4 linked regions of the Tamandua tetradactyla genome follow. The protein of the gene in region 3 interacts with the protein of the main gene of each other region in a biochemical or structural test. Links are inferred from orthologs where the notes say so. Each region holds a gene or a part of one and is shown on either strand. Other genes may lie near its edges. The genes, in order: CCNA1, HPF1, H1-5 and PRKCA.

Evidence for each region.
Region 1: of the proteins of H1-5 (region 3) and CCNA1, one has a biochemical effect on the other in vitro, tested with the Homo sapiens proteins (2 studies listed by BioGRID). The link is inferred for Tamandua tetradactyla from reciprocal best matches to the Homo sapiens genes H1-5 and CCNA1.
Region 2: the proteins of H1-5 (region 3) and HPF1 form a complex in vitro, tested with the Homo sapiens proteins (2 studies listed by BioGRID). The link is inferred for Tamandua tetradactyla from reciprocal best matches to the Homo sapiens genes H1-5 and HPF1.
Region 4: of the proteins of H1-5 (region 3) and PRKCA, one has a biochemical effect on the other in vitro, tested with the Homo sapiens proteins (2 studies listed by BioGRID). The link is inferred for Tamandua tetradactyla from reciprocal best matches to the Homo sapiens genes H1-5 and PRKCA.

The regions. Positions count from the first base shown.
Region 1 is NC_135330.1:103,227,366-103,235,285, forward strand, and holds the start of CCNA1 (cyclin-A1), read right to left. Parts: upstream 3,022-7,920; 5' UTR 2,902-3,021; intron 2,409-2,901; exon of another isoform or gene 2,242-2,408; intron 1,872-2,241; 5' UTR 1,860-1,871; coding exon 1,689-1,859; intron 1-1,688. UniProt on the Homo sapiens protein: May be involved in the control of the cell cycle at the G1/S (start) and G2/M (mitosis) transitions. May primarily function in the control of the germline meiotic cell cycle and additionally in the control of mitotic cell cycle in some somatic cells.
Region 2 is NC_135352.1:43,136,975-43,143,947, reverse strand, and holds the start of HPF1 (histone PARylation factor 1), read right to left. Parts: upstream 3,022-6,973; 5' UTR 2,971-3,021; coding exon 2,890-2,970; intron 353-2,889; coding exon 193-352; intron 1-192. UniProt on the Homo sapiens protein: Cofactor for serine ADP-ribosylation that confers serine specificity on PARP1 and PARP2 and plays a key role in DNA damage response.
Region 3 is NC_135351.1:30,971,330-30,976,950, forward strand, and holds H1-5 (histone H1.5), read right to left. Parts: upstream 1,319-5,621; 5' UTR 1,256-1,318; coding exon 575-1,255; 3' UTR 515-574; downstream 1-514. Other genes in the region: histone H3.1, read right to left, coding at 4,217-4,627; histone H4, read right to left, coding at 5,495-5,621. UniProt on the Homo sapiens protein: Histone H1 protein binds to linker DNA between nucleosomes forming the macromolecular structure known as the chromatin fiber. Histones H1 are necessary for the condensation of nucleosome chains into higher-order structured fibers.
Region 4 is NC_135332.1:7,717,178-7,725,128, reverse strand, and holds the start of PRKCA (protein kinase C alpha type), read left to right. Parts: upstream 1-4,944; 5' UTR 4,945-5,012; coding exon 5,013-5,185; intron 5,186-7,951. UniProt on the Homo sapiens protein: Calcium-activated, phospholipid- and diacylglycerol (DAG)-dependent serine/threonine-protein kinase that is involved in positive and negative regulation of cell proliferation, apoptosis, differentiation, migration and adhesion, tumorigenesis, cardiac hypertrophy, angiogenesis, platelet function and inflammation, by directly phosphorylating targets such as RAF1, BCL2, CSPG4, TNNT2/CTNT, or activating signaling cascade involving MAPK1/3 (ERK1/2) and RAP1GAP.

The sequences.
Region 1 (7,920 bases), on a different chromosome or scaffold from region 3:
TGGTTAAAGGGGGAAATGTTAGGTGTCTATGTGTTACTGGAATAAAAATTTAAAACAGCAAAATAGTACTATACAACACAAACTGTGAACCATAATGTAAACCATATATAATTATAGTATAATTATAAAGACGTTCTTTCATTTATTTGTGACAAATTGCCAACAGAATAGTTAAAACTGATTAATTGCAATTAAGGAGTTATTTATATCACAAATAAATGTTTAAAATTAAAAAAAAGCAAAAGAATTAAAGTGATTTGTTTGTGGGTTAAAAAAAAATCAGAACCTTTCTTCATCAAATTCAGAGACTAGAGATCATTGTGTAAGTAGATTGTAGTTTTCTGAAAACCAGAGTCATTCTTTAGCATAGCACCTGGGCCTGTTTTGGCAATATATAAAATGGGCAAATGGGCACACTGGCTTCTCTCATCATGTGATTGAATATACCAAATGCCTGGCTTGGTGCCAGACTTCTTTGGGCTTTCAGGGATCACTTACACCCAAGAAAATCATGCTTTTGCTAGAGTGGATGCAAGAAAGAGCCACTGGTTTGGTTCTGCAAAGGAGGACCAAGACTTAAGTAAAGCATTGTAAAGAGTCTTTGCTCTCTATCCAAAATGGACTAATGTTTTCTTTTGTTTTGGTGATACAACAAATAATTTAAATGTGGTGATTTTTTTCACATTTTGATTTGTCATATATTTGACTTAATAGGGCTAAATCCAACTCACGCCTCTGTTTTCATAGTAAGTGATCTCATTTATTGCTGTGAGAAATGGAGCAATGTACAAATAAAATAATAGACTCTGATTTTTTTAAAAAATCACATTCACTCAAGTTTCTCCAAAGCTTTGAGCAGTACATTTTAGTTATTTCCGTCCACTGGTCAGATACCACAAAAGGCAGATGACAAAGAATTGATAGATGGGCTTCTAATTATCCTCCACTGTATATATAAAATGCATATATGTATTTGGGTGGGTGGGGGGTCTTGGTCTTTCTCAAGCCTTTCAAAATTTCTCAACTCTAAAATGGAAGCTGCCTGGGAAGCTCCTGGCTTCTGTCTCAGATGTGCAACACAGGTTTTTAAGGCACCACTATGAAAGGGCCTGTCTGATAACAGACTTGGGGAAGCATTTCCCTGTTCCAGGATTCATTCTTAGGTGTCCTGTAAGGGTCTGAACTGAAATCAGTTAAGGATGAACTTATAGTCAGATCAGCCAGGCCTGCTACCAGCACACTGCTTGGTAGCCCAGTGCTCTGGCCAGAGCATGGAGGCAGCTGCTCTCAAAGCACAGACTTCGTTGTGAATCCAGTCGGCAGAACCGATCTGTCTCCAACCCTGTCTAAGGTGAACAAGCCAAGGTTGTGCAGGGCTGCGCCCCCCCACCCCGTCCCGCCCTTCCCCTTCCCCAGCAGGCTTGAAAGAACCCAGATCCATGGTTTTGTCAATACACATTTTTTTTTAGCTTAGAACTGGAATTAGTCACATATACTTAAAACAAATGATCCTTAGATTCAGTTAAATTTGGAAAAATAACAAAGGAGGTTGTTCACTATTTCTAGCTGGCAATGGGGCCCGACGAGGCCACCCTTGAAACTGGGTTTCCCACTAGCCCCATGACTCAGGGTTGGAAACCCTCCAGGGCAGTCCTCGGGGCTCCACGGGGCTCCAGGGCTGCTCTCACCTGGCCCCAGGTCCTGTACTGCCCGTTCTCAGTGAGCACCCCCAGCACGGTCCTCTGGGGGGCGTCCTGACCGAGCTGGGCCCTGGTGACCATCTGACAGGCGTCGGGGCCAAGGGTTGCTGGAGCCAGGATGATACGGCTCCTGGAGCTGTTCTGATGCCTGCCCTCCATCACCACTGGTGGCTGCCAGGAGAGAGGAGGGGCGACCGAGTTAGCCAACCGCCCCCACCCGGCTCCAAGGGCGCAGCGGATCGCCAGGAGGCAGAGCATCGAGGCTAGGCTCCCCTAGCAGCTGGAAGGGCTGGAAGGACGCGAGCAGCAGCACCAGGCATCAGAGCCCTGGAAACCTCCAATTGCTGGAGGCAGGACCACTGAGCAATTCCCAGGTAACCTGGGGTCAAAACCAACAAGCCTCTCCCTGCCCTAAGCTCATGCCCCCTGATTCCCAACCAAAGGCCCAGGAAACAGCACTGCGGGAATGGGTGTCCCCTACACAGGTGCCACGCAGGTGCTGCTCCGCAGCCCTCCTCCCACCGGACTGAGGCCCCCAAACCTGCTTGGAGGCCCCGACAGCCCCGCTCGCCTCGGCGTTAGATGGAGGTGTGTTAGATGGAGGTGTTAGGTGGAGGTGTGTGTCTGGAACAATCAGCAAGCGCCCACCAGGAGCAGGGCGGCAGGGGCGCCCGAGGGGGCGGGGCGTGGGCGGGGCTTGGGTTCCGGCGGGGCGCCGACTCCCGCAGCGACCCGGGCGCTGAGCGGGCCTGCCTGTCCCCCCACCCGCTCCGCTCGGGCCCCAATTGGCGGCGTCGCTGGGACTCGCGTGGCCGCTCCCATGCCAACCGCAGCGGGCGCACGCGGGGCCCGCGTCTCCATCGCGACCCCTTCACCCGACGCGCCCGGGGCTGCCACCTCGCCGGGGTCAACGGGCACGCCCAGCTCCTGCTGCTCGGCCGGGCTGTCCCGGGCGGGCCACGGCACCCGGCACCCGCTGCGCGTCTCGCCGGCGCGTCCGGCCCGGGCGGGAGGCAGGATCCGGCCCGCGATGGCCAGGCCCGCGGTGGCCCCGGGACCGGTTCCCCCAACAGCCGCGAACTCCTCCCGCCAACGTCTCTCCGCGGCCAGCTCCTGCGAACTCTGGCTCGGGAGAGCGACGCGGCCCCACCGACCGCTCCGGCCCGAGGGCGCCGCTCGCTCCCCAACGCTGGCCACGCACCTAGGCGTCCTCGCAGACCGCAGCCGGGGGTGGCGGGCAGACCCCGGGGTGGAACCGCGGCGCTCTGTTCATGGTGGCGGCCCGCCTTCGGTCACTCCCCGGCCTGCGCGCTCCCGGGGCCACGCCTGGCCCGCCTGGGGCCCGGGACATGGTGCGCGGCGGGCCACGGAAGGGATCTGGAGTTTCGGGGCACACGGGGTGCCCGCGGCCCCCACGGGAGGCCTTCCCGGACCGCTGCCGTCGCCATGGCGCGAAGGGTCCGGGAGCGCAAAGAGAGTGGCCCAGGAAGAGGAAGGAACGCGGGTGGCAGCGATGAGGCTGGGGACGTTGGGGAGATGGGGAAGTGGGGAGGGGGAGACACTGGCGAGGCCCGGAAGTGGGAGGTGGGCTGGCCACGTGGGGAGGGCCCTTGAATTGGAAGGCCCACCGTACAGGTGAAGGAATCCAAAACTTTCCTAGATGGATGAAAGATTGAAGACATATACATACAACCCATAGGTGTGAATCTGTGGGTGCACATCCCTGCAGGTACAAAATTGTCACTGCTGTGTTCAGCCGGGAGTGGTTTATTTTTATTTAATATTTTTATTGAGAAATCCTCACACCATACAGTCCATTCAAAGTATACAATCAATGGTTCACAGTATCATCACATAGTTGTGTATTCATCACCAAGTTTTATGGATTTTTAAAAATTTTATCCTATTACCGTATATTCAATATAACATTTCCCTTTTAACCACTTTCAGAATAAGCTTTCTTATACAAATTGTTGTAATATGTCTAAGTCAATTCATTATGCTGTTAAAATGCATGCACATTAGTTTTATATTGTATATGATATTAGTTCTTATATTGTACATTCACACAAAAAATATTGAGACTAGATAACATTTCACCACATGATAGGATCAACTAAAAAGAAATTATTGACTTAATTCTAAGTTTCAAAAGTTATATGGATGACAAATACTGTCAGGTTATTTAAATTTTGCAATACATTATGCAAACTATAAGTGTGCTTATGTATGATATACACTCAATCATATTAACAAATAACTGAACTAAAGTTTAATTACTGAGAACACTCTTTAAAGATGAATAGTAATTAGCACCTGTAAGAGTCATGCTTCTTTCAGGTATTTTACAATGGTCTATCACAGAAAATAAAGCTTCAGGAAATCTTCACATGTGCAAATCACAAAGAATGCAGTTGAAGTGATCATTTTTAATAGCTTCATAAACTCTGATTCCATGCTGTTGGGTTCCATCTGCACTCAGAATAGGAGCAGACGGAAGAGAAATATCACCACTTAAAATCTGAGTTGTGTCCAGTAGTTGTGGATGTTCTGCCATTATCAATAAGGCATTAATATACCGGATAACCCTCCAACTAACACCCGGCGTGCTTCCCAGGCCGTGTCAAAAATTCAAAGACGCAGGTACTGGCACCAGGCGAAAAGGAGTCAACGCAGAAGGGCGTTTTTTCCCAGGTTTTAACCCCAGGAGGGGCGGGGGAAACTGTCTTCAAAAGAACATTCAAGTTCGGTGGCGGCCGGCCGCCTCTCTGTCGCCACCTCAGAGTGGTTTATTCTTAAAATCAGAAGCTCCTATCCCTGATTCTCTGAAGTAGATAACTGCGACAAACAAGGGTTTGTTTCTGTCTTATTTGGAATGCACGTCCTGGTCCTTCTTAGCATTCCAAATGTCCAAGTGTTCTTTATTAAGTTTTCATCCCGCGAACTGGGTGTGCATTGTTTTGGGGAAAATATAGGTATTCCCATAGGGCGTGGGTGGCAGCCGCTGGGGGGCGGGGGTCAGATGAGAGGACGCCGGAGCGCGCTTGGGCTTGGGTGCTGCGTGCGCAAGGAGCGCAGACATCCATTCTGTGCGGTAAGAATCCAACTTCTGCACGTCGGTCACGGGTTGCAGTCGCGGGGAATCAGTGATCCCCTCGCACCCCAAATTCCCGTGCCTTTGGGTGAGAAGGCAGCCCAGAGATGTGGAAACAGCTTGGTGTCCAGCGCCAAGAGACCTCGGTGTTGGCGCTTTGCCAGATGGCTCTCTGGGGTAAAAAAGGAGCTTTTCTGTCTGCTCCTTGCCTGGCCTTCACCCCACTTCCACCTGGCGGAGCCGTTGTGATTTCGGGGACGCTGGGGCCTCCGTGGTTACCTGGTCTGGGTCTCAGGAGCAAGTTGGTCCAAGTGGCTTTGGCAGAGATCAGGTCACACGCCCTGACCCCTGTGACTTGCCTTTCGATCCGGTTTCCTCCGGCAAACCTAACCAAACCCTCCCACCCTTTGCTTTTCCTCTGAAACAGAGAAGCCAGTGCAAAGTTTGTGCTTGAAGCTTGCCATGTTGAATCTTTTTCCTGGGATTAAAGCTCGAGATGGGAAAGGGGTAGTGACAGGAAAGTTCCTGTTGGGACAGCCCCTTAAAGTTGGGTGTTTCCACTCAAATCGTGATCAGAAGTGTCCTCCTCTATATGCTAGCTTCAGTTGGAAAGATAGCCTTTAAAACGTAACTGTCAACCAGCTGGAACCTTTTTCATACCTTTTTCCTTGTATATCATCATCTCGGACCAATAGCTGAAGCCCAATACATCTTTTTTTTTTAATTTTTATTTTATTTTTTTAATACCAAAAAACACATAACAAACGCAAACATTCCAATTTTGATCATTCCGTTCTACATACATAATCAGTAATTCACAGTATCATCACATAGTTGCATATTCATCATCATGCCAATACATCTTTATATGCATGAAATAACTATTATTATTGTTAAAATAATAAAATAGAAAAAATAAAATTATTACTATTACTACCACATGTCAACATTATCTCTTCTCTCTCCACGCATATTGTGAAACTTGCCAAAGGGAAATGAGAAATGACTTATGATTGTTTTCTCTTTGTGCTGCTTTAGAATTCCATATTAAATCAGAGCTCTCCAGTCAGATCTTAAATTGGAGACTGATTTAGATAAACTGATACTTGTATATATTTATATATGTGTGTACATATAAATTCAAATGTTTCTGTAGCTTGTATAGCTTGTGTAAAAGTGTGACTTTCTTGACTTTAGCTGCATAAAAAAACTTCAAACCATTTTTTTGATACAAACTTAACTGATGAATATGTGCACAAGTTTTATATAAAATATCTAACTAAACTTAAAACTTGGCAATAGAATTAAGAAAAACAGGAGCAGAAAGGACTTTTTCACAAATTACATAGTTGCAATGAGATGCATAATTATAATTTTGCTATGCTGGGGAAAGCAGGATTGGAGTGCAAGGTTAATAGATTTTTAAATTTCTACAAGTTTTACATAAATTATGTATTGACTGTACACTATACTGGGAAGTGAATTGTACATTTAATTGTAAATGCAATTTTCTTTAATATCTAAAATATTTGGCTTAATGAAGTTATATATATAAAGCATCTTTTTAATTTCAATTAATTTGGGCAGCACTTCCTACTTGATATTCAGTGCTCAGCTAATTTTGACGCTAGTATTAATTTCCATACCAGAGGTGACAGCTGAATTCTTTCCTTGTTTTTTTAAAACCCAGTAGTCCTATTAAAATCAACTCCTCTTCCCCACCTAACCCCCAAATTACAATTCAAAGACAGTCTTTTCTGTTTGCCAGCAATTTACCTGGCATTTCAGAAGCAGTTATTACTTCGATCACATTTGCTCATTGTACCTAGTAATTAGCCTCCTGATCAAGCCTTTCGCTTTTCATTAATCAGCATGAAATCAAGTTGATTTTTGGCGTGGGGTTGAAAGAGATGAAAAAGTAGAAGAGCTGATTTTATTTCAGGGCAGAGGTACATTTAGGGGCATGTTTTGCATGTTCATGCCTTAGTCCATCTTAGGTGTACATGTAAAACGGAAGGACCAGTGGGGGTGGCGGGACATTCACAGCATCTTAGCCCATAACTCCAGAAGGCTATGTGGACCAAGCATGCCCCACTTACTAACGAGATGCAGCCACAAATTTACATAACGGTGAAGTAAGTTTCCATTTAGAACATGCCAAACAGTCATCTCTATAGAGTGAAAATAGTTTGAATGCATACATGAGATTAGCCAAAATCTAATATTCATTCATTTTACAAATAATGTTTGGTGCACCCATCATATGCCAGGCAGCAGCCGTGTATGAGGAGAACAATGAAGAAGGCTTTGTTCCAGCCAGGACACCCAGAGAGGTAACTAGATAATAACAGTGTAGCTAAATTAGTGTTTATTTCAACAGGGTGGGTGCAGGTGAATAGAAGGTAGCCACTGGAAGTCAGAGAAAAGAAGCAATGCATGTTGCTCTGGATATTTGGAAGCAGAACCCAGATCTGATAATGAAAAATAAATAAAAGTTAACAAACAGGGCAGGTGGTATAATCTACATACATTCTAGAAAGGGAAGCCTAAAGAACAAGAGCTTTCAGTTGAGTTTTCACCCCGCACCTTCCAAGGAATCAGTAGATTGTGATGTCCAAAATACCCCTCAGGACTGTCTCCACTGGCCCCTTTACAGCATCCACCAGCAACTGTCTCCTGGAGAAGCCAGCCTCCTGCGCTACTGCGTGAGAGAAAGGTCTTGGCCCTCAGTTCCCATGGGTCAGTCCCTAGAAATGTGCCCAGCTAGAGGTGCATTGATGCCACCAGCACCTGGGTTGCAGAGTCAGGCGCTGTGGCATGAGCCACTCCAAGAGTCCATACCAAGGGTAAAACGAGTTGCAGAGTGCCGGTGGTGCCAGAATGGCTTAAATCGTGGAAATGTATCAAATGAAGTTTTGAGTTGTCAGACTTTAGCTGAAAATCCATCTAATTTGAATTTTGTGCTATCTTTCATGAGTCTCAAACTAGTCCGATAAATCATATATTGAAGTGAGGTCATCTCATCATTAAAGGCAGTTGCAATTTAATAATTATACACTTTAAATGAATAATCCAGCTCATATCAGTTTTTTTCTGTGCAAATCTATTGTTCGATCAGTTCTGTGA
Region 2 (6,973 bases), on a different chromosome or scaffold from region 3:
AATGCATTTCATAAACTTATTTACCTTTGCCAATATAACAGGTGACATATTATAGCTTTAATTTATATTTCTCTTATTAGAAATATCTTTGAAAATGCTCCTTTCTAAGATCCGTTTACATCATTGGTCCAGTGTCCTACCAAGTTATCTTTTCCATTTGTAGGAGCAGGAGATGATTCTGGAGCAACTCACCAGCTGGCTTTTCATGATCAAGTTCTTCACAGAACTTCCAAAAGTGATAGAAATCTTCAGGCAGAGACAATTTATAATGATTTTCTACTTCTTTTCGAAGCTCAACAGAGACATCAGCTTCACAGGACTTACTTTTCTTCACATCAACTGTTTTTTCACACTGAAAATCAGCATATAAAATGTTAGTTCTCTAAAGAGAAAGCCAACAATTTTTCCTACATAACAATTTTATTCGTTCTTATTCATCCAACTCTACCAGATATATATAGTTTCTATAACATTCTATAAACAGTGTATCTGAGAAAAATCTTGGGATTTTCTTAGGCAAAGAAAAAAGGAAAGAATAGATCATTATATATTATGGTCAAGAGGGACCTATGCATCAGGTCGTTAAATATATTTCTCAAACATAACGGAAATATGGAAAAATAAAAGTACAAAAATAAAGGTAAAGACCAACAAAAGAAGTGGGAGAAGGCAGGTTTGCCCTCTTTTGTCATCATGCCTTTTGTTTAGACATATTCAATGATCACACCAGGAGATTGGGCATGAGGATTTACCAGCTAAAAAAATAAAAAGAAAAGTTGTTTCTTCAGCAAATTTCAACCAGAGTTATCTGGGCTAATCACTACAATTATTTCTCAGACTTCTATCTAAAAGCAGTGACCTTCCTTTTGACTTTCCAACTGAAGTTAGTAAAACAGCACTAAATTTGCACCTAAACCTCAATTTTTTTTTAACTTTGGGACTAGATTACAAACTTACTTTGTATCACCTAATCACTAGAGGTTCATTGTTTAAGCATGCTAGATTCCATAACACTAATAGATATGTGATAACTTTCTGTAAAGATTAGTTGGCAGCTGCATGCCTTGAGTTTTGTAAGCAACAATCTGTTTTTTCTTTCTAGGGACTTAGAGCCTTTCTTTCTGGATTTTGCCCCATAGGGGATACTGAGCAATACCTGGAGACAATTTTGGTTGTCCCAAATGGAGGAGAAGGAGTCAGTTATTAACCTAGAAGCCAGGGTTACTGCTAAACGTCGTACAATACATAGGATAGCTCCCAAAACAAACTTAGCCGATCTAAAATGCCAACAGTGCAGAAGTTGAGAAATCCTGAATCACAGATTTCTTATATTCTTCTGTTTTCTTCAGTAAGCTCAAGTTTGGTGATGTCATTCTAGTATAATGCAGATTCCATGAAATGTTTATGGTCAGAAGACACACATTTACGAATATTCATGGCAACAATGCTTCTAAGAGTATTAAGTTACCTTCCCTAGGTCCCTAACTACAAAGTGGCAGAGCAGGGATTTAAACCCAGGTGGGCTGGCTTAAATTCTCAATCACTTCATCACGCTGCTTCTCCAACCACAAATGAACAAATAGGAACACATGGAGTCCTGACCTCTCCTGGCTCAAATTTTAAATGTTAGAAAGAAAAACCTTATCTGACTTACTGAAAGGCAATTTTGCATAATGGTCAGTTTTCCATAGCTCCAAGGCCTGGTCTGACTCCTGGTTCCGCTATTTCCCAACCATCTTACCTGTGGCAAGTCAAACAACCTGTGCGTAATATTGTTTGCATACATACCGAAAAGGCACTTTTAATAGCTATATCGTTAATCACAGAGCCGTGGTGAGAAATACTATATGCAAAAATACAGGGAACACTGCCTAGCACACAGCATATAAACGCTGGCCATTATTAAGTGTTAGCTATAGCTAGTCTTTATTTATAGACTCGCTTTCATTTTTGGTATAGTGCCCTTAATTAAACCTGTATTCTGTCTAAGCAATTCTTCACTGTGCTTTCAGAGAGAATTTTTCCAGTTCTACCTACCTCACACACTAGTTCAACATCCCCAAATCCCTAAAAGTTAGAATTTAGGATAGGTGTCGCCATCAGAGGCTACACTTTACCCTACGGCTCCTGGAAGGCGTGACCCAATATTAAGAACGCCTAGGACCACAGCCTTCTAACAAGGAAGTCTTGTAACAATGTTGCACCCTGTTGTTTATAACACAGGTAGAGCAATTTAGCTAAAACCTCAAATAACTTCCTCCCTGCTTAACCCCCTTATTCCTCCTGCCCTGGCTACAGAACCTCTAAGATCTTGTGAAGGTGAGAAAATGCACGGTTTTGCCCCCACGCCCACCCGAGCGCCTTCCTGCCGTGGCGCTCTCCCGGCGCCTGAGCACCGCCTCCCCGTCCCGACTCGGGGCTCCTTCCTTCTCTCCGCCCGAAGCGCCTTCAACTTATTCTTCAAGAAACATTTCGAGCAGGCGTCCCCCAAGCTCTTTCCAACACCCCCGAGGGCCTGTAAAACCGTCCCTTGGGGTTTCCACGGCACTGCCCACCCGCTAGCGTTCCCATTCCGGACAGAAGGCAGAGCCACACGCCACCGTCGGGGCCGTCTCCCGGCCGGGCTTTGCGCCGCGGCCCGAACGAAGGACGCGTCAACCGCCGCGCGCCTTCCCCACGTCCCCGGGAGCGCGGCGGACGGCAGAAGCGAGGCCTCCGCGGCCAGCTCCCAGCAGAGCGGGACGGGGCCCGGGGGAGGCCGAGCACCGTACACAGCCAGCGCTCAAGCACCACTGAATGAGAGATCAGCCGTCCCCCGGGCCCAGGCTGACAAGGCGCCCCGCGGAGTCCGCACAGCCCGCACAGCCCGCACAGCCCCTCGGGCAGTACCTGCGGCCCCGCCCCGCCGGGCCTGCGCTTCCCGCCACCGCCGACCATCTCACGGCAGCGGCGCAAACAAGCCAGAGCCATCCGCCGCTTCCGGCGCCGCTAACTGCTTCCGGGGTCAAGGCCGGCCACGCTCCTTGCGGCACGGCCGCGCATTTTAACGGGGAGGCCCCGCCCCACCTTGTGCTCGCTCCCCTCCGCCCGCGCCTCCTTCCCGCCGCGTCCCTCCGCCCCGCCTCGCTCTGGCTCCGCGCTCGCGCGGAAACCCGCGCCTCGCCCTGTCCAACCCATCTCGTCCCCGCCCATCTCACCTCGTCCCCGTCCAACCTCGCTCCGCCTCAACCCACCTCGGCCCCGCCCCGGCCCCGCCCCTGCCCCGCCCCTGCCCCGCCCCTGCCCAACCCGCCTCGGCCCCGCCTCAACCCACCTCGGCCCTACCCCGCCCAACCCGCCTCGGTCCCGCCCCGCCCCGCCCAACCCGCCTCGGCCCCGCCTCGGCCCCGCCCCGCCCAACCCGCCTCGGCCCCGCCCCGCCCAACCCGCCTCGGCCCCGCCTCGGCCCGGCCCCGCCTCGGCCCCGCCCCGCCCAATCCGCCTCGGCCCCGCCCCGCCCAATCCGCCTCGGCCCCGCCCCGCCCAATCCGCCTCGGCCCCGCCCCGCCCCGCTCTGCCCAACCCGCCTCGGCCCCGCCCCGCCCAACCCGCCTCTGTCCCGCCTCGGCCCCGCCCCCGCCCAACCCGCCTCAGCCCGCTCCGCCTCGCTCCGCCTCAACCCGCCTCGGCCCCGCCCCACCCAACCCGCCTCTGTCCCGCCTCGGTCCCGCCCCCGCCCAACCTGCCTCAGCCCCGCCCCCGCCCAACCCGCCCAACCCGCCTCAGCCCGCTCCGCCTCGCTCCGCCTCAACTCGCCTCGGCCCCGCCCCGCCCAACCCGCCTCTGTTCCGCCTCGGCCCCGCCCCACCCAACCCGCCTCTGTCCCGCCTCGGCCCCGCCCCGCCCAACCCGCCTCGGCCCCGCCCCCGCCCAACCGCCTCGGCCCCGCCCCCGCCCAACCCGCCTCAGCCCGCTCCGCCTCGCTCCGCCTCAACTCGCCTCGGCCCCGCCCCGCCCAACCCGCCTCTGTTCCGCCTCGGCCCCGCTCCCGCCCAACCCGCCTCAGCCCGCTCCGCCTCGCTCCGCCTCAACCCGCCTCGGCCCCGCCCCGCTCAACCCGCCTCGGCCCCGCCTCGCTCCGCCCAACCCGCCTCGCCCCTTCCGGGTCTTCCTTTTCCTACATCTGCCGAGCTCATGTGTGGAGCCCGTCCTCAGGAGTTCATGCGAAATGCGGCACGCCAGGAGCTCTTTGCGACCTTGCGTGTGGGTAACTGCCTTTGTCCTGGCGAGGGTGGCGTTTGAGGTTGAGCAGAATTTCCGCTCGTGATGCTGAAGGCACCCGCACCGTGGCCCCGCGTCCTGCAGTCTCCAGCATCGCCCTGGGGAAGGCTCGCAGCGTTCTGACCCCTGCTCCTTGGCCGGTGACCCAGGTCTTCATATGCAACCTGATTTTGTTCTTGTTTCTTTTTGTCTCGAGAAGTTGTAGGATCTTCCCCTATTCTTGCTGCTCTAAGATAGGACATGTCTGGCCGGTGGGTCTGTTCTCATTTCTATCACTATCACCCTTGTAACTTGTGTTTTTCAGGTCTGGCAAGTTTTCTGGAGCTATTTATATGGTTATTTCCTCTCCACTAGTTTATGTTCTGTTCTGTGCATTTGGGGGATATTATTTAGTTGCTAGCTTCGCCTTACCTACTGTATCTTCTTTTTCTGGAATTCCTGTTATTCAGATGCTGTACCTTCTTGACAGCTGTTTTTCCTTATCAGTCCCATTTCTTATCTCTGTCTTTTTATTCTATTTTCTATGTGATTTTCTCAATTTTATTAGAGGATTCTTGTATCAAATCATTTGATTTCTTTTATCATACTTGAATTTGTAAGGACTCTTCATGCTGTGTTCTTTTTATAGCATATTGTTCTTTTTTTTCATGGATACATCTTCTCTTGTCTCTGAAAATATAAACTTTAGGGTTTCCAGAATGCTGTCTTCATAACTCTGCATTGACCCTTTAACCATTTTTTGTTGTGAAATATAACATACATTCAGAAAAGGGATAGATTTCAAAGTACATTGTAATAAGTAGCTATACAACAAATCTCAAAGTATAGTGTGCCGGTTGGAAAGGACTATGTACCCAAGGAAAGCCATGGTTTAGTCCTAATTCCATCTTTTGGAGACAGCCATTTCTTTTAAACCCTAACCAGCATTGTAGTGGAAACTTGATTAGATCCTCTCCACAGAGATGTGCCCTGCCTATTCCAGGTGGGTCTTGATTAGCTTACTGGAACCCTTTAAAAAGGAAACATTTTGGAGAAAGCTTCAGCATAACATGATCCATGAGACCATGAGAGCTGCAGAGCCCATGCAGCCAGAGACCTTTGGAGATAAAGAAGGAACACACTCCTGGGGGAGCTTCATGAAACAAGGAGTCTGCAGAGACAGCTAGCAGACGTCACCATGTTCACCAAGTGCCTTTCCAGTTGGGCGAGAAACCCTGAATGATGCCGGCCTTTTTTTTTTTTTTTTCTCCTATTATTTATTTTTATTCCATATGCTCTACTCGTCTGTTGACAAGGTAGATAAAAGGAACATCAGACACAAGGTTTTCACAATCACACAGTCACATTGTGAAAGCTGTATCATTATTCAATCATCATCAAGAAACATGGCTACTGGAACACAGCTCTACATTTTCAGGCAGTTCCCTCCAGCCTCTCCACTACATCTTGACTAACAAGGTGATATCTACTTAGTGTGTAAGAATAACCTCCAGGATAAACTCTCAACTCTGTTTGGAATCTCTCAGCCATTGGCACTTTGTCTCATTTCACTCTTCCCCTTTTTGGTTGAGAAGGTTTTCTCAATCTCTTGATGCTGAGTCTCAGCTCATTCTAGGATTTCTGTCCCACGTTGCCAGGAAGGTCCACACCCCTGGGAGTCATGACCCACGTAGACAGGGAAAAGGTGGTGAGTTTGCGTGTTGTGTTGGCTGGAGAGAGAGGCCACATCTGAGCAACAAAAGAGGTTTTCTTGGAGGTGACACTTAGGCCTAATTTTAAGTAGGCTTGACCCATCCTTTGTGGGGTTAAGTTTCATATGACTGGGGGCTTGGCCTATAGCTTTGGTTGTCCACACTGCTTGTGAGAGTATCAAGAATTCAACTTGGGGAGGTTGAATTTTCCCCCGTTCTCACCATTCCCCAAAGGGGACTTTACAAATACTTTTCCATTCACTGATCAAATCACTCTGGGATTTGTGACATCAGCCTTTCTTGAGCGAAGGTAACCTCTTGTTGGTGCCTTAATTTGGATGTTTTTATAAACTTGCTTTCATTTGGACATTTTCACAACTTTAGAACTGTATACTTGCAACTTAGACTAAATTCCCCCTTTTAAAAGCCATTCTGTTTCTGGTATATTGCTTTCCAGCAGCTTGCAAACTAGAACAAATTGTATGAGTTATAGTTCCCCAAGTTCAGGCACTTACTTCTAACTGCTCCAAGACACTGGAGGCTAAAAAGAAATATCAATATAACAATCCAGCAGTCATACTCATTTGTTAAATCCTATCTTCTCTGTTCAACTCCTCCCTCTCACTTGCTCCTTTCTCAATCTTTAGGGATATTTGGGCAATGACCATCACCGACATTATGGGGTAGGGGGATGCAACTGATTGATGTTGTTGAAGACACTGGTAACTCTGGGTTTCAGGACTTATCTGGCCTAGGAACCATCTGGAGGTTTTAGGTTTCTGAGAAATAAATGAGTGAAACTATTATAGAGTCTCAGACAGAGCCCTGGTTATTCTATAGGGTTTACAGAAATAATGTTTGGAGCTTGGTATACTGTGGCAATTTGCAATATGTGGCTGATGTTTGCATAAGAGTGACTTCCAGAATGACCTCTCAGCTCTATTTGGACTCTCTTAACCACTGAAACCTTATTTTGTTACATCTCTTTTTCCCCTTTTGGTCAAGGAGGCATTGTCAATCCC
Region 3 (5,621 bases):
GGCATATCAAAATCATACAAGTGAGTCGTCAACTGCCAGAATAACACTCGACCAATCAAAAAGTATGGCGCGGGTTTTTAAAATTAGTTTCTCTTTTCGTAGCTGCCCCGTAAAGAGCATCAGGTCGAAAGTAGGTTGCAGACAATTTACATTAAGAGAATTTTTTGCAGGGAAACAGTGTAGTAAACTGCTAACTCCTTACCGTACGGGGCGCTTTGCTCTGCCTAAACCAATTTATTATAAACAGGCAGGCTGTTTTACTAAATGACCAAATTTGCACCTCTGACATAGGATGTAACAAATATTAAGAGAACCAAATAAATATTTGGAAGTAGCCGGAAGGGGTACTGTCCCACAATCTTAAAAGAAATGTCATGTGGACAGAGCTGCAGGGTTACTATTGTTCACACAAGCCCCCCTAGGAGCTGGTACTCACTGATGAAGGTTTATTCATCAAGGAGGTAGACAGGAGGTTTGAGGATTGGTATTATAGTGCACAGCTTTTTCATGAGACCTTTGGGTGGCTCTGAAAAGAGCCTTTGGGGCTTTATTCACTTTCTATCACACCAGGTTCCTACTTCTTCTTGGGAGCCGCCTTCTTAGCCTTTGCAGCTTTGGGTTTGGCAGCCTTGGGCTTAGGGGCCTTAGGTTTAGCCGCTTTCGGCTTCACGGCCTTAGGCTTGGCTGGGCTCTTGGCCGCCTTCTTCGGCTTGGCGGCAGCTTTGGCCTTCTTAGGACTCTTGGCTACTTTCTTGACGCCTGACGCCGCCGGCTTCTTGGCCTTCTTCGGTGTCTTCTTCACCGCCTTCTTCGCGCCCGCAGCCTTTTTGGGCTTCTTAGGCGTGGTTCCGGCGGGCTTCTTAGCCTTAGCCGCACCGGCCTTCTTGGCCTTAGGTTTGGCTTCTCCAGAGGCCGCCTTTTTGTTGAGTTTGAAGGAACCGGAGGCGCCGGTGCCCTTGGTCTGCACCAGCGTGCCCTTACTCACCAGGCTCTTGAGTCCCAACTTGATGCGGCTGTTGTTCTTCTCCACATCGTAGCCGCCGGCCGCCAGCGCCTTCTTGAGCGCGGCCAAGGAGAGACCATTGCGCTCTTTGGAAGCGGCTACCGCCTTAGTGATCAGCTCAGACACCGGGGGGCCGGTCGCTTTGCGTTTAGCAGCGCCGCCGCCTGCCGCCTTCTTAGTCGCCTTTTTCTTAGCAGGAGACTTCTCCACCGGCGCCGGGGCGGCGGTCTCAGCAGGAGCTGTTTCCGACATGGCGAGAGGATGAACTAAAGAAGAGATTCTATACCGAGAACGAACAAGTTCAGCAATGCTGGCCCAGGCCTGCCCAGGGCTTATATAAGCCGACGCTGCCGTGTGATTGGTGGAGCGTCCAATCCGCCGCCCTCGGGCTCTCGCCGCTCGGGGTTGGACTCCCAAGTTGTGTTTGTTAGTCTCCAAAATTTTATTAAATGCTGAAAACAGCAGTACAGAATTTGACGCTTTTAAGTTCCAAAGGAAGAAAACAGCCTCAAGATTCACACACTTGTTTTTGTTTTCATGAACCGTGCGCAACTGATAAAAGATATTTCTGAAAATCCTTTCAGGTTTTCATATGAACCCACGTGGCTGAACACAAGTTGCTAGTTAGTGGCATGTTGCAAGAAATTTCTACCAAGTATCCAGCAAAAGTTATCTAAGATAATTTTTCCATAGGTTTGGCCTTTGATTTTTGCGGGAGGAAAGACACAGTGTTCCTTAGTTTGGGGAGAAACTTTGTTTCCAAGTGTACCAAGTAACACAGGCCAGGGCAGCTGGTTGCCTATAGTCCCAAATTAACTGCATTAGACCCTTCTTTAAAACTTGGTTCTGCCTCCTAGGAGTGTCCATGTGCTGGTGTCCTTCGAGAATGAAACTTAGGAGCTTGAAAAAGGTCAGTTGCCAGAATGACATCTTCCATATTGCAGTAGGATGAGTGCACATAGCTCTGGCTTCAGAGTCCAAAAACCTGGATTCAAATTGCTTTTGAATTTGGTATGTGAACTGGCTGAGATGCTTTCTCTTTAGTTGACCAAAGCCATTACCATGACAAAAAATGCATAGCCAGATGATTTGCTTTAAGCAAAAACCCTCAAACCTGCTGAAAACTATTCAAGGGCTCGCAGTAGTCTCAGAATAAAGCACCAACTGTTTAGATGACCTTGGACCCTGTCAGGCTCACAAGACATTTTTTTCCCAGTGCTCAGACACTGACTCCTTAGCTCAAAACTTAATGAGTCTTAAAGCTCTTGTCCAAGCAGCCAGGAGACTCCAGTGGGATATTTCTGTCTATTTAATCAGGGATAGACTTGTATTATGGAAAAGTATCTGACTACTGAGAGAAGGGTGGTTTGGATATTGAGGGACTAGAAGTTATAGAAGTTCAGGATAATTCATGAAAGCATCTCCCCGCCCCCCCCCCAAAGGAATGGATGCAATGATTATGAGGTTGCAATGGATGGTGCAAGAGTCTGATATATATTTGGGAGAAAAATGGACAGGATTTTGATTTCGGTTGATGAGGAAGATCAGATGATAATTTAGATCTCTAATGCAATTGACAGTCACTTAGTTCTTGCCAGTGAAAAACTGTACGACTGTGGAAGAATGGCTGAATGGTCAATCCCCCTTTTCTTCTTTCCAGGAACTCCAGGAGCAGATAGCAAACTATGGTTTTGGGGCCAAATCCAGGCAGTGACCCATTTTCATGTGGCCCTCAAGCTAAGAATGGTTTTTACATTTTAAAAGTCTCATTAAACACACACACAAACCGAAAGAATAAGCGACACAGACCATGTGTGACTTGTAAAACCTAAAATATTTGCTAACTGGTCTTTGTGCTGTTTCAAACTCCACACAGAGACAGATCATAGTATATTGCTGCAGGCCTTTTTCAGGACCATGCAAATCAAGAATTAAGGAAAAGGGAATCGAAGCAAGAAATTTTCTTATCAAGTATTTTTCACTGTTCAATCACAATATTTTCAAAGGATCCGGGGGTAGGAAAAAAAAAATCTCAAAACTCCATGCTCCCAGGGGTGGGTTTGGGAACAACAATAACAGCTAACATTTAATGAGTATTTGCTAAGTGCTATGAACTATGTTCTACAGGTTTTAATTCATTTGCACATTTTACGGCTTTATAAGATGAGACACACAGAGAGAATGAGTGACTTTTCCAGAGATATTTAGCTAGCAGCTGGCAGCAATGGGGCTGGAGTCTAGATTACTAGGCTCCAGATCTATTATGGTAGAAAAATATAGGGGGGGGGCGGTTAGGGAGGGGGACCATATATGAACTTTGGAAGAAGCAGCATCAAGCTGACCATACAACTAACTGACAGCCCCTAAAGGAGCTCTAAGTTCTAAAGAATCTATAGGAAGATGCTGCTGGCTGGTCCTATCTATTTCTTTTTGCAGAATCAATTTCCATATTCCAAAAAAACCTTGAGTGAGCCAGTGGGTGGAATACAAGCCTCCTTTGTTAGGCTGATGTATGAACTAGGGTTAAAACAAAGGCCTAGAAGATTAACCTACCAGAGAACACTCAAGAAAAAATTGCACTGACATTAACTGCCACCTCCTGGAGTTAAAAGGGTGTACCCTAAAAGGAAAGTAGCACACAATTAGGTAATTAATAATCATATGTTAAGAACATAGAAACTTTCAAGACAACTAAAAATATTGAGTCAGGCTAATAAGCAGGTCCTAATGTGTTAGGTTAAGTGTTGAGATTACTGAGACCAGTAACTGCTTTCAAATGCAATCTTTGCTTGTCTGCTGCTACTTGAGAGTCACAGCAATCACAAGAGTATTGTGAAAGACTGGAGCGAGTATTTAAATTTAACTACACCTGGACAATGGAACGTAGGAGAGGGAGTTAACGGTAAAGGATAGGCAAGATAAAACTAAGGAAGGGATGGGAGCCTTTCAGTTTGCTAAGGCGTTAAAAAAAAAACCTAATACCACCTCATGAATGCAGAACGCATTTATCCATTTACAGACTTGGTGCCAATTGCCCTGCCGGAAATAGCCATGTCAACGTTTGATCGGTACTCAGCCTCTTAGTTTAATCCACGTGGCACTGGGTGTTGAGTCCAGCTTGTAGTGACAAGGTATAAACAACTCCTTTCTTGACAATTGAGGGGCTCTTAAAAGAGCCTTTTGGACGGCACTATAGTGAAACACTGCGTATACTTAAGCCCTCTCGCCACGGATACGGCGGGCGAGCTGGATGTCCTTGGGCATGATGGTGACGCGCTTGGCGTGGATGGCGCACAGGTTGGTGTCCTCGAACAGCCCCACCAGGTAGGCCTCGCACGCCTCCTGCAGCGCCATCACGGCCGAACTCTGGAAGCGCAGGTCGGTCTTGAAGTCCTGCGCGATCTCGCGCACCAGCCGCTGGAACGGCAGCTTGCGGATCAACAGCTCGGTGGACTTTTGGTAGCGGCGGATCTCGCGCAGCGCCACGGTGCCGGGCCGGTAGCGGTGCGGCTTCTTCACGCCGCCCGTGGCGGGGGCGCTCTTGCGGGCTGCCTTGGTAGCCAGCTGCTTGCGCGGCGCCTTGCCGCCCGTGGACTTGCGAGCTGTCTGCTTAGTACGAGCCATAACGGAGAAGAGTAACAGTCGCACAGAAGTGAGACTGAAGGATGTTAGTCCCAGTATTTATAGCGACTGTCGCGTTCTGATTCGACAGATTTCTACTGACCTAGCTCACCCACCTGATTGGTTCTCTGTTCAATCCCTTAATGAATGGGAAATATTTCCCACTTCCATTTCAGTCTGGTAAAGTCTACAAAGAAAGTTACCTACCTCTTAACAAAGCCTGTAGGTTTTTTTTTTTTTAACGCGTCAGAATTACGTGTGTTGTTGGTTTGAGAATCTAAAAGCGCCTAGCGCTTTTTTTAAATAGAAAGTGACCTGAATGATTTCCTGCCACAAAACATTATTGAGTAACGTGTTAAGGAAACGAGATCAGTTTAATTAGGGGGTTCAAGTACTTTGAAATCCGAGTCGCTAAGCGCTATACCTATAGTATTAAATTTTAAGCGTACTTAAGAACCACCCCAAGGCACTGTTAAAGCCACGGCCAGCCAACTTTCCTGTAAAAGGGGACTTCATTGGCTTTGAAGCTGTTGCCACGTATTTACGTTTGACTTTATAGAGTGATAGAACTTAAAAACACAACATAAATGCCCCCCGGCTATGTGAATAAAACGTGACAGTGGATTTGGCTGTCGTCGACCCAACTTGCCCGCCGGTAGAATTTACCCCTGAAATCGTCTAAGTGCTTGATTTTGACCGGGAAAACCATAGTTGACTTCTCCATTACCTTGGGTTTTATGTAAAATCCCGTATTAAACCAACGCAATCAGGTATAGAGTTTAAAAAGTGCACGTAACTCTTTTCACAGATTTCGTGGGGGGCCCTAAAAAGGGCCTTTAGTTTTGTTAAGACTTATTTAAGGGCTGTAGCCTAGCCACCGAAGCCATAGAGGGTTCGGCCCTGGCGCTTGAGCGCATAGACCACGTCCATGGCGGTGACGGTCTTGCGCTTGGCGTGCTCGGTGTAGGTGACGGCGTCGCGGATCACGTTCTCCAGG
Region 4 (7,951 bases), on a different chromosome or scaffold from region 3:
TGAAGCTGTGTGATAGGTACATGGGATTTTTTATCTTAAGCTCTTTGTTTTGACAAATGTTTGAAAAAATTCACAATAAAACGTCAAAAAGCTCAATATCGTAATACATAGTGGGCATAGAGCCCACTGGTTCTTGTTAAAAGATTCAGGACACCTGGGCAGATACCTTTCCTCAAAAAGGTTTAGAAAAGCATCATAAGATAACAGTTAAGTACTGGTTCCCATTTCAATTAATTTAAAAGTGATTGGAAAGCTATGAGGAGTTACTTGGGTCCTTTTGGATCTGGCATTTTCAGAGAATCCAGGCATTATGCCCTTGGCTAAAGGCTGAAGTGATCTTGAGTGATGTTTTAAGTATAAAATGCTAACTCCAGGATAATTTTTGTATACTTCCTCCATATGCCATCTCTTGCTTCCTAATTTATAGTCACTGCAAGCCAAGGGAAATTACATCTGTCATATTTTGGAGGAAGAAGAGGAAATCAGCCTGCTTCCTACATAATGCAGGCTGAGAAAGACCATCCAACCTTGTATTTGTATGAATTTAGCAATCACTAGCTATTTAAATGAATGCTATAATACCTTTATACATATGCCGTTTTGCACATGTGCATGTATATTTGTGAGATACATTCTTATAAGTGGAGTTGCTAGGGCAAAGGGTTTGATGCATTTCAAATTCTGATAGTTATTGCCAAATTGCTTTTTATCATATTTGTGCCAATATAAAGTCCTACCAATGATGTATAAAACTGTTTGATTCCCATACTCTTCCTGAAACAGTGTGCTATCACAAATTTTATATGTGCCCACCTGTGAGGTCTCCATGGGGTTATAATTTGGTCTTCATTTGCCTTTATCTTGCTATGAATGAGGTTGAGCATCTTTACGTATTTGAAGAACTATTTGCATTTCCTCTTTTTGGAGCTATCTGTTCATGACACTTCCCTCTATTTTCCATTGTACTTGTTACTCTTATTCTTCTGGATTAATATCTGGTAGTATATCTATTCCTACAAGTTTTTTTTCATTTAGACTTTTGAATCATGTTCCTATTTCGGAAAAAAAAACCTATTTGTAAATAGATTAAGGGAAATTGACTTTCTATGTCTCTTCCTATAAAAGAAGAGGATATGTCTTTCCATGTATTCAATACATAAATTGTATTCAAACAGTTAGCTACATTTTTAACAGATGGCTACCTGGGAAATCTGAACTGGGAAGGGCAAGAACAGAAGCAGGAAGACCAATTAGGTGACGACTGCAGTGGCCTAGGAATGAGATGATGGAGCTTGGATTTGGGTGGGGGCCATGGACAGATGTGAAGTCAGTCTTGGATGTAGAGTCAACAGAATTTCCTTGTGGATTAGAAGTGGGATTGAGATAAAAGGCAAAATAGGAATGATATCTCAGTTTTCCGCTTGAACCCCTGTGTGGCCCGTGATGCTATGAGATGGTGGAGACTGAGAAGGGGTCCTGGACAAAGGTATGCTTGGACTGTAAGTCCCCAATCCTATACCCGATGGAGGCTGCCCACAGTAGAGGGAAATACAACCAACCAGAGGCAACCTTGATGTTCACCAGGGTCTCCACCAGCCCAAATGGTATCTTGGAGTGAATTAGAAAAAAGGTACCCCTTCTGGACAGACAGAGGCCCAAAGACGTATGGCTTGGTGAGGAATGTATGAACTGGATTTCAGCCTCTACTCGATCTCTTGGCTGGGTGCTCTTGTGTTGTTAGCAATCTGCACAAATTTAACTGGTAGCCTTGGTGCTAACTTCTGACCAGGGCTTCTGACTTGCCCACCCACCATGAACTCTGACCCTGCACCCTAAGCTTACCCAATAATGTTCCCTGTCTCTTGACTTCTGCTTCACAGTTAGATCCCTGTCTCTATCCATTTCTTGAGACCTGCCAACTACTGTGATGCTAATGACCACCTACCCAAGCATTCCACCAGTTTCCTTCCCTCACAAAAACCTTGAACACAATGCCTTTAAATGAGTTTGGTTCCTATAAACCTCAAAATCAAGGTTTTTCCACCCTTAAACAATTCCTATTGCCAAACTTGAAAACAGCCTCATCTATTTGAAAAATAGACCAGCTTTCTATATAGGGTAACATATTTAACAGTTATAACTTGAAGTTATTGGTTTTATGTGAGCCACTCTTTTTTCAGAGTCATCAGTTTGATGCTCTGACTTTGATCCCAATCTCCAATCTCCAGGCCACATCTCTGCAAAGAATGTTAAGTTGGTTCCTCAAAGATAGAGGAGACAGAGGAGGATTCTGACAGTCTGCGTTCAGTCTACCATTTCCTGTTCTTTCTTGCAATTTCGCCATGAAAAGCAGGCTCTAAAAAAAATCACCAAGGCCCATGACTGGTTGACCACTCTCACCTGCAGTTCTCCTTTCCTTAATCCCCACCATTTTAATTATGCTATGGGGACTTCTCAGGTGAGCTTCAGGGACCAAGTATGGTTCACTTTCCCATCAGTCTCTGTTGGGGAGGGGTAGGTGACACTGCTTGGTAATTCCCCAGCTCCATGTCCACCACCCCAGCCACCCAACTGGGCTAAGATATAGGGAACTGATATGCTCCTGTCCAGCCAACTATCAATCAGATGTCTTCTGTTTAGTCATTTCTCCCTGTACCCTCAAGGGACAACAATATCAATAGGCAGGAAAGCAAAGCAATAACCTGAAAGGAAAGAGACATTTTCTCCCTCTGGTCCACTGACTGCTAAGGGCAGAGACTCTGCTCATACAGGAGACCGCCAAGGCCCACTTGGTTCTTAGCCCTTAATCTCTATTACTTTGCTCAGGGTTTCCCATTCTCCAACCTCAGCAACCCCACCTTCCACCTCTCCCCAATTTTTCTTCCATCCTTATATCAATACTCCAGGGAAATAGAAAGAAGTTTATTTTTATAAAATGCGTAATGACCACTGACTTAGATAATGATGGTTATAAGGAAAGAATCATGCACTTTACTCTGCGCTGTATTTGATTTACAATTTTTTTTGTATGCTGTATGGTGGGGGTCACATTTCATTATTTTTCCATGTGACTATCCCCGTATAGCAGCACCATTTGTTGAATATTGTGTTTTTGTTTGGTTTTTCATTTGTTTGCTTGTTTGTTTGGGAAATGCATGGGCCAGGAATCGAATCCGGGTCTCCCACATGGCAGGTGAGAATTCTACCATTGAACTACCCTTGCACCCCCCCAATTTACAAATTTATTAAGCAATAACTAACCATGACTTAAGAAGATAGTACATATCTTAGAAAAGTTGATACTTTAACATCTTAAGGGATCACACAGCTCATTCTCTGTCTTGATGTCTTCAGTTCATGAAGTTGTTTGGTGAATTTAGTGAATCTGACAATGAAATAAAGCGTAATGACATGATGAAAGATGTCTCTTTCTCTTATGTATCTTAGCATCCTTGGGGCAGAACTAATAAATCCTCAGCAAGTGATTACTTGGTACAGTCACATGCGTGTCCTTTGCATATCCATGCCAGCTGCCCTATTCAAGCATTTTTTTTTTTTTTTTTTTGGCAATTTACAAATGGACTGGTTGCACTCTGCACCTATCAGTATTGCAGTAATTAGTTTAGGATGAAAAGTGATTTCTAAATGAAAGTTCTGGAGTTTCTTACAAAACCAAGAAAGCCTAATAATCAACATTGTAGGTGTTGTAACCAGTGAATAACGGGATAAATAACTGGGACAAGTTCATTAACTTTCCTACCTGCTGATAATATCTGAAATACATGTTAGATGTTTATACAATAAGTAGGTGAAATATAGGTCAATAGCAATTGAAGCTAGGCTGAAGGATCAGTGCTCAATTACTTGAAATTGCTCCCTAACTCCTGCCAACTATAAAAAGCATTCTGGTCTGGGGGTTCGGCATTTTAGGGCACACACAATTAGAGTGACATTTCAGCCTTGTAAAACCTCAAACTGGTACAAGTTGATAAAACATGGGCATCGTGCCTTGGAAATACCGGTGGGTCCGGGGAAACGGGGGACGACCCAGGTGTGTGTGTGGGGGGCGGGGGGCCAAGGGAGAGTGCAGGTCCGAGCGGGTCGCACCGAGGGCCGGGTGAAGGAGGCAGTGCGTGGAGCCCCATACCGCAACTCGGGGTTCCTTTCCGCCACGCAGCAGAGGCGCAGAACTCCGATCCGGGAGAGGAGACAGCGCGGGGCGAGGAGGAGAGAGCTGAGCAGGAGAGAGTGGGAGGAGGAAGATGATGAGAGGAGAAGGCAGAGCGAAGGGAGCGGAAGAAGAGAGGAGAATGAAGAGGAGGAGTAGGCGAGAGCGACGAGAGCCCGGCAGAGGAAGGGGAGAAAAAGGGAGGAAAAGCAAGGCGGCGGCGAAGAACGGCCCGCCCCCGGCCGCTGCCTCCTCAGCTCCCAAATTCGAGCCGGCCCTTCCCGGGTCGCTGCCGACTCCTCCCCTTTCCGGGCTGCAGCGAAAACACGGAGGCGCCGAGTCCACCCGCGGCCGCGTCCTCCCGGCTCAGCGCAGCTCAACGCCGCGGCCACACCCCCCACGCGCGCCCCCACGCCCGCGCGCGCTCCTGTTCCGCGCGCCCCCACGCCCGCGCGCGCTCCCCACGCGCGGCCACACTCGCACGCGCGGCTCTCGCACTCGGGGCATGCGCGGTGGGCGGCGCCACTCCGCGCCGCCTCTGCCGCCGCGAGTAGGAAGCGCGAGCGCCCGGCGCCGGGCTGTCAGTGAGCGTGGGGCCAGCCAGCTAGCGAGCGGCTCCGGCTCCGGCTCCCGCTCTGCGCCGCTCCGGCCCGGCTCTCCCTGGCCGCCGCCCGTCCGGCCGCCGCCGCCGCCGCGCCTCCTCGCCGCTACCCCGGCCGCCGGCTCGCGCCCCCCGCCCGGGGTCGCCCACGGCCCCGCTGCCCTTCCCCCGTCCGCCCCCGCCCACCCCAACCCTCCTTGGCTGCTGCTCCCCGGCGGAGGCAAGAGGTGGTTGGGGGGGACCATGGCTGACGTTTACTCGGCCAACGACTCCACGGCGTCTCAGGACGTGGCCAACCGGTTCGCCCGCAAAGGGGCGCTGAGGCAGAAGAACGTGCACGAGGTGAAGGACCACAAATTCATCGCCCGCTTCTTCAAGCAGCCCACCTTCTGCAGCCACTGCACCGACTTCATCTGGTAGGTGCGCGCGGGGCCGGAACGCGGGACGGGCACCCCCGGGGACGCGCTCGGGGCGCCCCCGGACCTCTCTCCGGGCGCCCAGGTCCGGGGACAAGTGTCCCCTTAGCGTCCCTTGGTCCCGGGGATCCGCGCTCGGGTCCTCCAAGTCCGGGGAACTTGGAGAGCCCGCGTGAGTGCGAACTCTCGCCCGAATGCCACACGCGCTCCCGGCCCCTGACACACGCGCGGTCCGGACCCCTGGGGAAGTCACCACCCCGGCCACACACCCCCTGCCGCAGGAGAGAGGCTGGCGGGAGCGGCCGTGACATTGACCACCCCCCTTCCCCCCCCCCCCCCAGCACGGGGCCATGACTCCCACCCCCCTCCCCAGGCGTACAGGCCCTTCGCGCAGATCGCGGAGCCCTGGTTTGTCGGGTGTGAGCAAAGACCGGGACATGAAAAAGAGGAGACTTTCGAGGGGAAGAGTTTCCCGGAGGAACACGCCCTCGGACTAACCCGGGAGCGGCGGCCGCGGCGGCGGCGCTGCGCGCGGTCCAAGTTGTTGGGCAGCCGGGCGGGGCGCGTTCGGGGCTGTGGGCTTGCGGTTCCCAGCGGGCTGGGACGCCGCTGGAACTTTGGATCGCTGCCTACTGTAGCTGGTATCTGCTGGGCACCGAGAGACTTTGACTTTTCGAGGTGAACCGTAGAGAGGCGTCCAGAGGCAGCAATCTGTTGAAAGCTTGCAGTGGGGGAGGGGGATTAAAACCGAGCAGGCGAATGGCAGAAGGGCAGAGGGAGTCATTTAAAATAGACCCTGTCAACAGGAGGTTAGACCTGTAACCCTGTTGATGAGGACAGAGGCCTTACTTAAGACAAATAACCGTAACGGCTAAAGGTGTCAGAGTTCAAGTAATTTCCAGTGTACTCAAGTATTCTTGGGGGGAGTTGACAAATGGATGGTATTAGGGGTCTCTGAACCCGGCAGAACTTAATTGTGCTTTTTTTTTTTTTTTTTTTTTTTTTAATACCGGTGAGAGGATTATAGTTTTGGTCTGATTCTCAAAAGGTCTGTGTTCTTCCTCCCTACCCTCCCCCGCACCCCCCCCCCCGGAAAAAAAAAGTTTAGAAATCTGAAACTCCAGGTCCACTAGTTTGAGGAGCAGTAGCTGTGTTTTTCTCTTAGGTTGCCTGGCACCCTACCTCTTCTATCTCTTGTTGGTGGGTGTAGGACGCTCCTCCTAAGCCAGAACTGTGGCTAGGTTTCCTTAGCTCCCTGCTTTTGTGGGCCTGGAAATTGAGCTGGATGTCAGTGCCCCATTGTGTACCCCGCCAACAGCCAGCTGTGTGCATGTGTATCTTGTTATTTACAGGGGCACTAGGGAGAAGGTTTGGGTGGATTTGTCTGTGTCCATCACTCCTGGGGGAAGGTGTCTGAAAGGGCAAGCAAGCCCTAAAAATGCAGTGCTAATTGAGTGCTTAATTTTCCTTTCCCTTTGACAAATCAGCTCAAAGGTACACTTTGGAAAAGCACAGTCACGTCTGTGAATGGTCACCGCTGTGCAGTCAGCATATGAAGCAGTTGTGCTCCTAGGAGTAGGTAATTGTAGATAAGGCTTTTGACAATAAATTGTTGGAGTGTCAGAGCAAGGGGAAGAAGCATGTAGTTCAGCGCAGGTCTTCTGTCTTCCCTGTCAACTGTGAGGTTCCCTTTAAAGGGAGCAGTTATCTCAGAGTGTGGATGACTTTTGCAGAAAGTACGTGAGTTAGAGAGCAGACTTGCACCCTACCCAAGCTAGCTGTCTTCCCACTGTCAGTTGCCCTGAAGGATCTGCCCCTTGGTGAACCGCTGTGGCCAGCCAGGTCGCCAGGTGTGCTGTGAAGTGGAAATACAGGTCTTCCCCAGAGTAACCCCTTTGCGATGCTTCTCACCTCATTCTACAGCAGTCACATGCAAGTGCCAGGAAAACATCTGTCAGAAAATTCTGGCTTTAATTTTTCAGTTTTCTTTTTTTTTCTTCATTGTTTCTGTGGGTTCTTGATTTATAAGTTTCACTTAAATCTTAAAGCACAGTCATTAAAAAAAGCTAAATGTTTTGGATTGAGACATGCTTTATTTGGCAGGGTTGGTGGTGGTGGTGGTGGTGGTGATTCTGAGTTAATTATAAAGGTATGTGAAGTGCTGTGCAAATTTAAAATGTTACTTGACATAAGGGATTATAACCAATAATCTTTTGTGAAAATTTTAATGCAGGCCATTCTAGAGGAACAGTGTTTGCAATTTAATGTCCATGTCAGTGTTCTCTGCTCAGAGAGTAGGTTCTCTGAAGCAATTTAAGGAACGAAATAGCCATTGTGTGCTTTGAATACTACTGGTTCTCAATAAAAATTAGATCATCATGATCTCAAATGCAATACATGGAAATGATTTTTTTTTTGTCACATCTAATTCCTTTTAAATGGTAAGACTGATGCTGTTTGGCAATTTCTAGACCCATAATATTTTAAACAAACAGAAACCACTTTTTAGTTGTCTTCAGGAAGAAGATTTTCAGTTGGTCTTTAGGAGCAGAATTAAGTCACTTCCTTGTTTTTTTTCATTAATTCCTTTTTCTGACTTAAATATTATAGCCAACAACTTTGAATACACGATTATATTCTTGTTTTAATTTTAAGCAGGTATAACATAGGGTACAAAATTAGAAAGAAGCTTGAAATAGTGATATAGTTCAGTGATGCTATGAGGCCAAGACAGATTTTTTTTTCCAAAGTTGAATTTGTACATCA